3 linked regions of the Macaca fascicularis genome follow. The protein of the gene in region 1 interacts with the protein of each later gene in a biochemical or structural test. Links are inferred from orthologs where the notes say so. Each region holds a gene or a part of one and is shown in the gene's direction. Other genes may lie near its edges.

Region 1 (4,106 bases):
AGACATCCCCAAAGAGATGGGTTTGACTTTGTACTTGAGTCATTGCAGCTGCTGGATTCATAGAGGGAGGACTTCTGATTGACTTTCACGACCTTGCTCCCTCCACCCCAAACTGTTCAGTGCTGATCTGACAGCCTCCTCTGACAGCTGATCTGAATTGGTTTTAAATCTGATTATATATGTGCACCTTGCAATGGGGTCGCAGTGCCTGAAACACAACCTCCTGCAGCTGGTATATATAGCGGGCACCATGAAAAGATCCAGGTCCTTGGAATTCTCTCGGCTGGAGCAAGAGCCGGGCTCTGCTGCCCATCAGCTATCTGACGGGGAGCTAGTAGCATCACCTCTCCCAGCCTCATTTTCCTTATTGTAGAATGGGGGTGATACCCAACTCATAAAGTTGCTCTGCAGATGTGAGGTCCCATGCCCAGGACCTGGCAAACAGAGGTTTAATCAGCTGTAGCTGTCACTGTGAGACGCACACAGAGCTTCTCTCTGGGAGAGAGAAGCTGGGATCCCCTCTGCCCTCCAGGAAGGCACAGCCCCTGAGAAAGTCTGGGGATGGTTCCCATTGGAGACTGCACACCAGGCTTTAAGAAGCTCTTCTCCTTCACAGATCCTCTGGCCTGTCCTTCCCCCACTGTGGCTTCTCCATCTGTGGTGGTGCCTTCTGGGGACGTGTCTCCTGGCTCTCCAGGGCCACTTCTGGCCAGTGCCTCCTTGCCTTTGTTCCAGCCCCCATTCCTGCTGCCGATCTGTATTAGTCTGTTCTCACACGGCTGTAAAGAACTACCTGAGACTGGGTAGTTAAAGAAGAGGTTTAATTGACTCACAGTCCCACATGACTGGGGAGGCCTCAGGAAGTTTACAGTCATGGCAGAAGGTGAAGGGGAAGCAGGCACACCTCTTACGTGAGGGCAGAAGAGAGAAAAGCAAAGGGGGGTGGTGCCAAACACTGAAACCATCAGCTCTCACTCAGAACCCACCCACTAGCACGAGAACAGCATAGGGGAAACCACCCCACGATCCAGTCACTCCCACCAGGTAAACCCCCCCCCCCCCGACATGTGGGGATTACAGTTGGAGATGAGCTTTGGGTGGGGACACAGCCATATCACCATCCGAAGTTGCAAGCAGAAGACTTTGGTTCTTAGGTTTTTGAGAAAGTACCTGTTAAGAGGTAAGTGAGGAGAGCTGGCTCCAGCGCAGATCCACACTAAGCTCGACTCCAGGGCTGGGATGGAGGCGGGCAGGACTGGGCATGTGTGACGCTGTTGGAAGGACTGCAAGTGGTGAGCAGGAGACCACTTGATAATGACCGTGGCATGAGGGGAGGCTGGGAACAGAGCCTGTTACTCATTTAACAGGATTTTTTTTCCTAAAAATTATATAACGTCTAGAGTTATAGACAGAAAAAAAAAAGAAATGGTAGTTTTAAAACTGCCCAGGCTCCGGCATCACAGTTCCTCTTCCTGTCTTGGATGCAGAGGGTTGTCAACCCCACATGCACTTTGAGGGGCTCTTCTTCGAAGCCATGGCCCAGCACGGTTTAGTGCTGCCTTAGCGTGCCAGGACAGAGGGAGGCAACAGTTGGTTCTTATAGCCAGGAGGATAGGACTTTTGGGTGAGAAGTTCTCACCTACTAATTTTGCTTTCCAAAGGCCAAAGAAGCCCAGGATGACCTGGTGAAGACCAAGGAGGAGCTACACCTGGTGATGACGGCACCCCCGCCCCCGCCACCCCCCATGTACGAGCCACTGAGCTACCATGTCCAGGAGAGCTTGCAGGATGAGGGTGCGGAGCCCACGGGCTACAGTGCAGAGCTGTCTAGTGAGGGCATCCGGGATGACCGCAATGAGGAGAAGCGTATCACTGAGGCGGAGAAGAATGAGCGTGTGCAGCGGCAGCTGCTGGTGAGGCCCAAGGGGCTGTGTGTCTCTAGGGGGCCCGCCTTGCTCTTGCAGCAGACAGGCTTGGGGAAGGCAGTGATGTGAGCCAGCCCCACCTAGCACCCCTCTTGCCCTTCCCATTTTCCTAGGGGAGGGGCTGGGCCATATGGGGAGGAAGGGACCTGACCAATGCTGCTTAATGTTGCAGACGCTGAGCAGCGAGCTGTCCCAGGCCCGAGATGAGAATAAGAGGACCCACAATGACATCATCCACAACGAGAACATGAGGCAAGGCCGGGACAAGTACAAGACGCTGCGGCAGATCCGGCAGGGCAACACCAAGCAGCGCATCGACGAGTTCGAGGCCCTGTAATGGCCAGGCCAGGACCAAGGGCAGAGGGGCGCTCACAGCGGGCGCTGCCGCCGGCGCTGCCAGCCTCGCCACGCTTGTGTCTTTAGTGCTCCGAGTCTAGGAACTCCAAAAGCCCAGTTCCTTTAAAAAGCAGTTACCCAACAGAAACATTCTGGGTTGGGAACCAGGGAGGCGCCCTGGTTGGTTTTCCCCAGTTGTATCATAGTGCCAAGCAGGCCTGATTCTTGCGATTATTCTCAAATCACCTCCTGTGTTGTGCTGGGAGCAGGACTGATTAAATTACGGAAAATGCCTGTAAAGTCTGAGTAAGAAACTTCATGCTGGCCTGTGTGATACGAGAGTCAGCATCGTTAAAGGAAACCGCGGCTTCCATCTGTGCCATACTTGTTCTGTATTTGAAATGAGCTCAAATTGGTTTTTGTTTTTAATTTCTATGAAGGATCCATCTTTGTATATTTACATGCTTTGAGGGGTGAAAATTTTTTTGGGAAATTGAGTTTGAAGCACTCTGGCACATACACACACAATGATTCCCTCCTTCCGTCACTCCACGCAGCTGGCAGAGAGCAGTGATCACCAGCGTGAGTGGTGTATGTAGGACACTTGGATAAATTTTTTTTAGGTTTTTTTTAGGTTTTTTTTAGGTTTTTTTGCTTAACAGTTAGAATACATTGTTGTACTTATACACCTTATTAATGATCAGCTATATAGTATTTATATACAAGTGATAATACAGATTTGTAACATTAGTTTTAAAAAGGGAAAGTTTTGTTCTGTATATTTTGTTACCTTTTACAGAATAAAAGAATTACATATGAAAAACCCTCTAACCATGGCACTTGATGTGATGTGGCAGGAGGGCAGTGGTGAAGCTGGTTACCTGCCTGCTGCAGTCACGTGTAAACAGGATTTTTATTGTTAGTGTTTTATGCATATAATGGACTATGCACATTTTTAATTTTGTCAAATACACACATGCCACTATGACCTTTCAGACTCCAGCCATGGAGAGACTGTTTGCTTGTGTTTGTTTGTAGTCTCTGCCATGGCCTTGGCAGGCTGCTGGAAGGCAGCTTGTGGAGGCCATTGGTTCTGCCCACTCGTTCCTTCTCGTGCACTGCTTACTCCTTCGCAGCTAAGATGCCATGTGCAGGTGGATTCCATGCTGCAGACATGAAATAAAAGCTTTGCAAAGGCACGAAGCAGCATGGCTGTGTACTTGTGTGTGGGGTGGGAGGGCCACCGCCGACTTGCCTGGGCTCTATGCTGTCCTCCGGCTGGGTTTTGTGAGGGGCCATGGTGTCCCTGGGGATACACTGGTAAGTTAGAGCTGACCAACCCAAGACATGGTGCTCCGTAGGTCACCTAACCTCCTCTGGAGACAGTTTCCATGGGAGAGGACACTCCAACTCACCAGGCTCCTCTAAAATGCTGCTCACCGCCGGGTGCGGTGGCTCATGCCTGTAATCCCAGCACTTCGGGAGGCCGAGGCAGGCGGTTCACAAGGTCAGGAGATGGAGACCATCCTGGCCAACATGGTGAAAGGCCGTCTACTAAAAATACAAAAATTAGGTGTGGTGGCGCATGCCTGTAATCCCAGCTACTTGGGAGGCTGAGGCAGGAGAATTGCTAGGACCCAGGAGTTGGAGGTTGCAGCGAGCTGAGATTGTGCCACTGCACTTCAGCCTGGCGACACAGGGAGACTCCATCTCAAAAAAATAAAATGCTCCTTTAAGCTGTGACTTTTTTTTTTTTTTTTTTTTGAGACAGGGTCTTCCTTTGGCCCAGGCTGGAGCACAGTTGTGTAGTCAGGGCTTACTGCAGCCTCAACCTCCTGTTCTCTA
Region 2 (2,744 bases), on another chromosome or scaffold:
TCTGCAGCCCGCCATCCTGGGTGACAAGCCCCCGCCTCCAACTCCCCACCATACAGAAGGGGCCATTCTTCCCCCCAAGAACAGAGCTTCAGTGTCTGGCCACGGGCAGCCGGGCCCCTGCTACTTCCAGTCTGAGTTGGAAGAACAAAGCCCCTCCTCCCCCCTTCCCTGGGCAGAAGGGAAAGGGGGTGAGGCTGGGGAAGAGATGGTGGGGCTGGGCGCCAGCTGAAGCCATGGAAGAACCCAGGAAGGGGCTGGGTGCCAAGCTGATGCCCCAGCCAAAGCCTTCACTCTGGGACAGGCCGACTCAGTCAGGCCACAGAGTAGGAACTTTCTGCAGGGTCTGCTCAAAGGTTCCCCTTCCCTAGGAGCTCCTGCCAGGGTACTTGACAAGGGGGAGGGTCCTTGGACCCAGGCCTAAACCTTCTGTCACCTCATCTTTGGATCTAGAACGTTCCATCTACTTTCTTCCTTCAAGGCCCTCCTTTGCTGCTTCAGGGTTAGGGTTTCAGGATTCCTGGGGTCAAATCCAGGCAAACAGTCAGGTGGACCACAGGAGATTCAGGGAGCACCACATGGGTTCCCCATGCCAAGCAAAGAGGCCTCCAGTGTCCCCACATTCCAAGAAGCCCCTCCCTGGTCACTGGCTCAAAAGGCAAGTCAGTATCTAAAAGCCACATTGGAGCAGCCCAGGGGGAGGGAGCGCTAATCCCATGATATCTGTACCCCTCCCATCCCTCCAGCCTGAGCAGAACCAGCCTGCCCTCTGATCCTCGAAGGAATGTAAAAAGGAGCCCCAGCAGGCTCAGGCGGTGGGAACCCGGGGTGGGTGGCCAGGGCATCAGTGCTACCTCTTCTCAGTCTGGGGCCCCTACTTCCCCAGGAGCTCCCTCCTGCCTCAGGACTCCCTCACCCCATCCTGTGACAACCCACACCCCTCTTCTCTCTGCCAGGAGAACAGTCGTGAAGCCTTGGCAGAGGCAGCCTCAGAGAGCCCCAGGCCAACCCTGGTGAGATCCGCCTCCAGTGACACCAGCGAGGAGGTAGGCCAGCCATGCAGGGGGTAGCAACTGGGTTACAGGAAGCCGATTCCCAGGCCCCACTTGTTCCTGGCACACCAGCCTGCCTTTGAGGTCACATGCTGAGCCGCATTCTGTTCTTGTGACCTGGCTTCCCTGGGCACAGCCCCAAGGGAGCCACCTCACTGAGGCTGAGGACCAGGGAGCCTAATGAGGGACTGACTCCCAACTTCCTGCCCCCATTTCTCTTTACAGCTGAATTCCCAAGACAGCCCCCCAAAACAGGACTCCACAGCGCCCTCGTCTACCTCCTCCTCCGACCCCATCCTGGACTTCAACATCTCCCTGGCCATGGCCAAAGAGAGGGCCCACCAGAAGCGCAGCAGCAAACGGGCCCCGCAGATGGACTGGAGCAAGAAAAACGAACTCTTCAGCAACCTCTGAGCGCCCTGCTGCCAGCCACCCGGTGACTGGCAGGGCCGAGCCAGCCTTCCACCCCACCTTTTTCCTTCTCCCCAGTTACTCCCCTGAATCAACGTACAAATCAGCACCCACATGCCCTTTCTTGACAAATGATTTTTCTAGAGAACTATGTTCTTCCCTTACCTTAGGGAAGGTGAATGTGTTCCCGTCATCCTGCAATTAGAAAGGAGACTCTGCCTCCCTCCTCCTCACTGAGTGCCTCATCCTACCAGGTGTCCCTTTGCCACTCTGCCTGGGATATCGCTGGGACCTGCACCATGCCAGGATCGTGGGACCAGGCGAGAGGGCACCTTTCCTTCCTCCCCCGTGTGATAACTGGGTCCAGGGCTGATCATTGACTGCAGAACTGCCACTCTCAGTGGACAGGGCATCCGTTATCCTGAGAGCTGTGGCAGACACATCTTGCTTTCATTTGATTTTTGTTGTTAAGAGTGCAGTATTGCAGAGTCTAGAGGAATTTTTGTTTCCTTGATTAACATGATTTTCCTGGTTGTTGCATCCAGGGCATGGCAGTGGCCTCAGCCTTAAACTTTTGTTCCTACTCCCACCCTCAGAGAACTGGGCAGCACGGGGAGGGTTTGGCTACCCCTGCCCATCCCTGAACCAGGTACCACCATTGTAAGGAAACACTTCAGAAATTCAGCTGGTTCCTCCAAACCCTCCAGCCTCTGTGTCTTCCTTGGGAGTTTTGTCCTCTGGCCTTGGACCCCTTATAGGTAGAAAGTGAGAAATGGTAAGCCAGGGTGGTCTTTGGCTGGGAGGGTGGCGTACACTGGAGGGAGGGCCATCTAGGGCTCTCTGTGACCCCAAGCCTGAGTAGCTTTAGCTAGAGGGCCTAGCTGCGGAAGTCCTGTGGGAAGGAGGATGCATGTACCCAGCCGGTGTTGAGCGTGCCTGTGTCCCAGGCTGTAAGCACTGATGTGGGCTAGGGACCCCTCGACTAATAGGGACATTTACCAGAGGAAGTGGGAGCTCAGACATGCTCAGAGGACTCTGGGAGGTTCCTGTAATTCCAGAAGCGTGGAAAGTGTGTCCCAGGATGGAGCTGGGTTTGGAATGTAAGGACTTGGCTTTACTCTTTCTGCCTACAGCCAGTGGGTGCAGGATTCCCAGGGGCAGGCTGGGCTGGTGCCAGATCCTCTATCTTATCTGGCCATTGTGACCTGATTGGAGGGCAAGTGTCCAGTGCCAGGGGAAAACAAACCGGTCCACTGAGCCCTGGGACATGCTGTGTGGCTAGGT
Region 3 (4,110 bases), on another chromosome or scaffold:
GAATAGAGGAGGGACCTGATTAGGAAGGTGGGGGTGCTCCAGATGAGAGAGGAGGTGCTGTGACCTCAAGGTCTGGGAAAAGTGGGTGAATGCAGGGCTCCATCAAGGCCCTCAACAAGGTCCCTCTCTGGTGCTCAGATGTTAGGCCCAGAAGACAGGTCAGAGGCCTGAGGTCAGCGGCAGGTCAAAGGTGGGAGTCCCCCCTGGTCCCCTTGGTGCCTTCCCTTGGAATGAAGTGACCAGCTGCCTGGAAAGGTGGGCAAGGGGGCAACAGGATGAGGTAAAGGCCAGTTACAAGTAGAATCCTGGAAGGTCGGGTGAGGTGGCTTATGCCTGTAATCCCAGCACTTTGGGAGGCCAAGGCAGGCGACTCACTTGAGGTCAGAAGTTTGAGACCAGCTTGGCCAACATGGTGAAACCCCATCTCTTACCAAAAAGTACAAAAATTAGCCGGGCATGATGGCACATGCCTGTAATCCCAGCTACTCGGGAGGCTGAGGCAGGAGAATTGTTTGAACCAGGGAGGCAGAGGCTGCAGTGAGCCGAGATCCCACTACTGCACTCCAGCCTGGGCAACAGAGTGAGACCCTGTTTCAAAACAAAACAAAAGCCAAATCGAATCCTGGAAAGACAGTGGCTCAGGGACTCAGCTGTCCCCAAATCACCTACCTTAGCTCTTCGTGCATGGGAGGGGGGATCCCCAAAATCTTCAAAGATAGGGAGATGTCCTCAAGATCTTCAAAGGTGGCCAGGCGTTGTGGCTCACGCCTGTAACCGCAACACTTTGGGAGGTCAGGATGGGAGGAGGCCATCTCAAGGCCAGGAGCTCAAGACCAGTCGGGGCAACATAGCAAGACTCTGCTTCTGGTTTTTTTGTTTGTTTGTTTGTTTGTTTTATGTTTCCTTGAAATCCCACCTTAGCATCTAAACAGTGGTGCCTACAGGTTTCCCCCATTAACTTCCTCTCTGGGAACAGAATATTCCCCTCCCCACCTAAGTTCAGCCGGAAGGAGATGCCTCATACCCCCACACCCAGGCTTCCCAGTGCTGAGAACAAAGGAAGCCAGTTCAGTTAGCATTTCCTGGCTAGGAACTGGGGGCCAGCAGTGCAACTGAGACCAGCCCTGTCCCTGGGGGAGACTCAGCAGTGCTGGCCACTTTGCAGAGCCCCATCTGGGTCCCCCATTCTAGCCCCCCAGGGCCATAGCATCCCCTTCTCCCCACAGGCCTGGGTAAGGTGCAATCCCCAGACTTCTGCAATCTTAACCGCTGTGCTTCCGTCTCAGTGGGAGGCCCCGCCTTTCCCCCTGCCTGCCCTTGGGGCACCTCAGGAAGGCCCCTTCTTCTGTCAGAATGGCCACCATAGTACCATCCGTATCGTGGCCCGGGGCCTGCTGGACTCTGCTGGTCTGCTGTCTGCTGACCCCAGGTGAGGCTGGTCAAGCCCAGGAGGGCTGGAGAGGGCTGGGTTTTGGGGCTCAGTAGAAGGTGGAGGAAGAGAATGCAACACTCTTTGCATCCTGCCACACTGCGACCTGGCTGCTGACCCCGTATCCTCGGGAGAAAGTTCTGGTTCCTTAGTTCTGCCTTCAGGTGGTCAGGCCCCAGCATACGGCTTCTACGCCATCCCTCTTCCCCAACACACACACACACACACACACACACACCCCTCACGCTTCCTGCTCCATCTGAACTCCTGAAATTTGCCCTTTGCGTATGTGGTTCCCTCTGCCAGGATCAGCTGTCCCTTTCACTTGCTAACTCTTACTTAGCTTTCAGTTTCAGGCTGGCATGGTCCCCTCCTCCAGGAAGCCTTCCCTGACTCACCTCCTCCTATGCTGGATCAGAGTCTCTTCTGGCCTCCTTCTGAGTTCTCCCTGGTCCCTGATGGATTCTGCCTTTCCCACTGGACCATGAGGGCGGGAACCCTTCTATCTCGGCACAAGGAAAGAGGTGTTAAATGGTGGGGCCTGCTGATACACGGGTTGGGGGGCAACAAAACGAACACCAGGATTTCTTCATGTTCCTGAAGGTGCCCAGGGGCAGGAGTTCCTGCTGCGGGTGGAGCCCCAGAACCCTGTGTTTCCTGCTGGAGGGTCCCTGTTGGTGAACTGCAGTACTGATTGCCCCAGCTCTAAGAAAATCATCTTGGAGACGTCCCTATCAAAGGAGCTGGTGGACAATGGCACGGGCTGGGCAGCCTTCCAGCTCAGCAACGTGACTGGCAACAGTCGGATCCTCTGTTCAGGGTACTGCAATGGCTCCCAGATAACAGCCTTCTCTGACATCACCGTGTACAGTGAGTCGATGTGTCCGGAGGTGGGACTGGTGTTGGGTAGTGGTGTGGGCAGGTGGCCGATGGCTCAGGAGAATGGAGACCCTCAGTTTGCAAAGAATGGACCAGGGTTCTGACCCAGAGCTCAGACCTGGATATTTGTGTGTGTGAGATACAAAGACAAGGCCGGGCGCGGTGGCTCACGCCTGTAATCCCAGCACTTTGGGAGGCCGAGACGGGCGGATCACAAGGTCAGGAGATCGAGACCATCCTGGCTAACACGGTGAAACCCTGTCTCTACTAAAAATACAAAAAACTAGCCGGGCGAGGTGGCGGCGCCTGTAGTCCCAGCTACTCGGGAGGCTGAGGCCGGAGAATGGCGGGAACCCGGGAGGCGGAGCTTGCAGTGAGCTGAGATCCGGCCACTGCACTCCAGCCTGGACGACACAGCGAGACTCCGTCTCAAAAAAAAAAAAAAAACAAAAAAAAAAACAAAAAAAAAAAACAAAAAAAAAAAAAACAAAGACATAGAGACACATCTCAATCTCATGCCAAGGCAGCAGTTGTGAAATCAATTAACTTGGGCCCCAACCAGCATTTTTTTTTTTTTTTTTTTTTTTTTGAGACAGAGTTTCGCTGTTTTTGCCCAGGCTGGAGTGCAGTGGCACAATCTCGGCTCACTGCAACCTTCGCCTCCTGGGTTCAAGTGATTCTCCTGCCTCGGCCTCCCGAGTGGCTGGGATTACACATGCACGCCACCACACCCGGGTAATTTTGTATTTTTAGTAGAGATGGCATTTCTTTTTCTTTTTTTTTTGAGACGGAGTCTGGCTCTGTCCAGCCCAGGCTGGAGTGCAGTGGCCGGATCTCAGCTCACTGCAAGCTCCGCCTCCCGGGCTTACGCCATTCTCCTGCCTCAGCCTCCCGAGTAGCTGGGACTACAGGCGCCCGCCACCTCGCCCGGCTAGTTTTTTGTATTTTTTTTAGTAGAGACGGGGTTTCAACGTGTTAGCCAGGATGGTCTTGATCTCCTGACCTCGTGATCCGCCCATCTTGGCCTCCCAAAGTGCGGGGATTACAGGCTTGAGCCACTGCGCCCGCCTGAGATGGCATTTCATCATGTTGGCCAGTCTGGTCTTGAACTCCTCACCTCAGGTAATCCGCCTGCTTTGGTCTCCCGAAGTGCTGGGATTACAGGCATGAGCCACTGCACCCTGCCCCAACAAGTTTTTTTTTTTTTTTTGAGATGAAGTCTGTTGTTCTGTAGCCCAGACTGGAGTGCAGCGGTGCCATCTTGGCTCACCACGACCTCTGCCTCCCGGGTCCCAGTTCAAGCATTCTCCTGCCTCAGCCTCCCAAGTAGCTGGGATTATAGGCATGCGCCAGCATGCCCAGCTAATTTTTGTATTTTTTGTAGAGATGGGGTTTCACCATGTTAGCCAGGCTGGTCTTTAACTCCTGACCTCGTGATCTGTCCACCTTGGCCTCTCGAAATGCTGGGATTACAGGTGTGAGCCACCTTGCCTGACCCCAACAATAATCTCAACACTTTGGGAGGCCAAGGCAGGAAGATTGCTTGAGCCCAGAAATTTAAGACCAGGCTGAGCAACATAGGGACACCTTGTCTCCACAAAAATAAATAAAAAATATTAGCTGGGGCCGGGCGTGGTGGCTCACACCTGTAATCCCAGCACTTTGGGAGGCCGAGGTGGGCGGACCACGAGGTCAGAAGATCGAGACCATCCTGGCAAATGCCGTGAAACCCCATCTCTACTGAAAATACAAAAAAATTAGCCGGGTGTGGTGGTGGGCACCTGTAGTCCCAGCTTCTAGGG

The links.
Region 2: the proteins of EZR (region 1) and NHERF1 form a complex in vitro, tested with the Homo sapiens proteins (2 studies listed by BioGRID and IntAct). The link is inferred for Macaca fascicularis from reciprocal best matches to the Homo sapiens genes EZR and NHERF1.
Region 3: the proteins of EZR (region 1) and ICAM3 form a complex in vitro, tested with the Homo sapiens proteins (2 studies listed by BioGRID). The link is inferred for Macaca fascicularis from reciprocal best matches to the Homo sapiens genes EZR and ICAM3.

What each region holds. Positions count from the first base shown.
Region 1 is NC_088378.1:67,101,680-67,105,785, reverse strand, and holds the end of EZR (ezrin), read left to right. Parts: intron 1-1,661; coding exon 1,662-1,913; intron 1,914-2,097; coding exon 2,098-2,262; 3' UTR 2,263-3,460; downstream 3,461-4,106. UniProt on the Homo sapiens protein: Probably involved in connections of major cytoskeletal structures to the plasma membrane. In epithelial cells, required for the formation of microvilli and membrane ruffles on the apical pole. Along with PLEKHG6, required for normal macropinocytosis.
Region 2 is NC_088390.1:81,139,125-81,141,868, forward strand, and holds the end of NHERF1 (Na(+)/H(+) exchange regulatory cofactor NHE-RF1), read left to right. Parts: intron 1-953; coding exon 954-1,043; intron 1,044-1,274; coding exon 1,275-1,463; 3' UTR 1,464-2,159; downstream 2,160-2,744. UniProt on the Homo sapiens protein: Scaffold protein that connects plasma membrane proteins with members of the ezrin/moesin/radixin family and thereby helps to link them to the actin cytoskeleton and to regulate their surface expression. Necessary for recycling of internalized ADRB2.
Region 3 is NC_088393.1:10,897,864-10,901,973, reverse strand, and holds the start of ICAM3 (intercellular adhesion molecule 3), read left to right. Parts: upstream 1-1,297; 5' UTR 1,298-1,353; coding exon 1,354-1,429; intron 1,430-2,032; coding exon 2,033-2,299; intron 2,300-4,110. UniProt on the Homo sapiens protein: ICAM proteins are ligands for the leukocyte adhesion protein LFA-1 (integrin alpha-L/beta-2). ICAM3 is also a ligand for integrin alpha-D/beta-2. In association with integrin alpha-L/beta-2, contributes to apoptotic neutrophil phagocytosis by macrophages.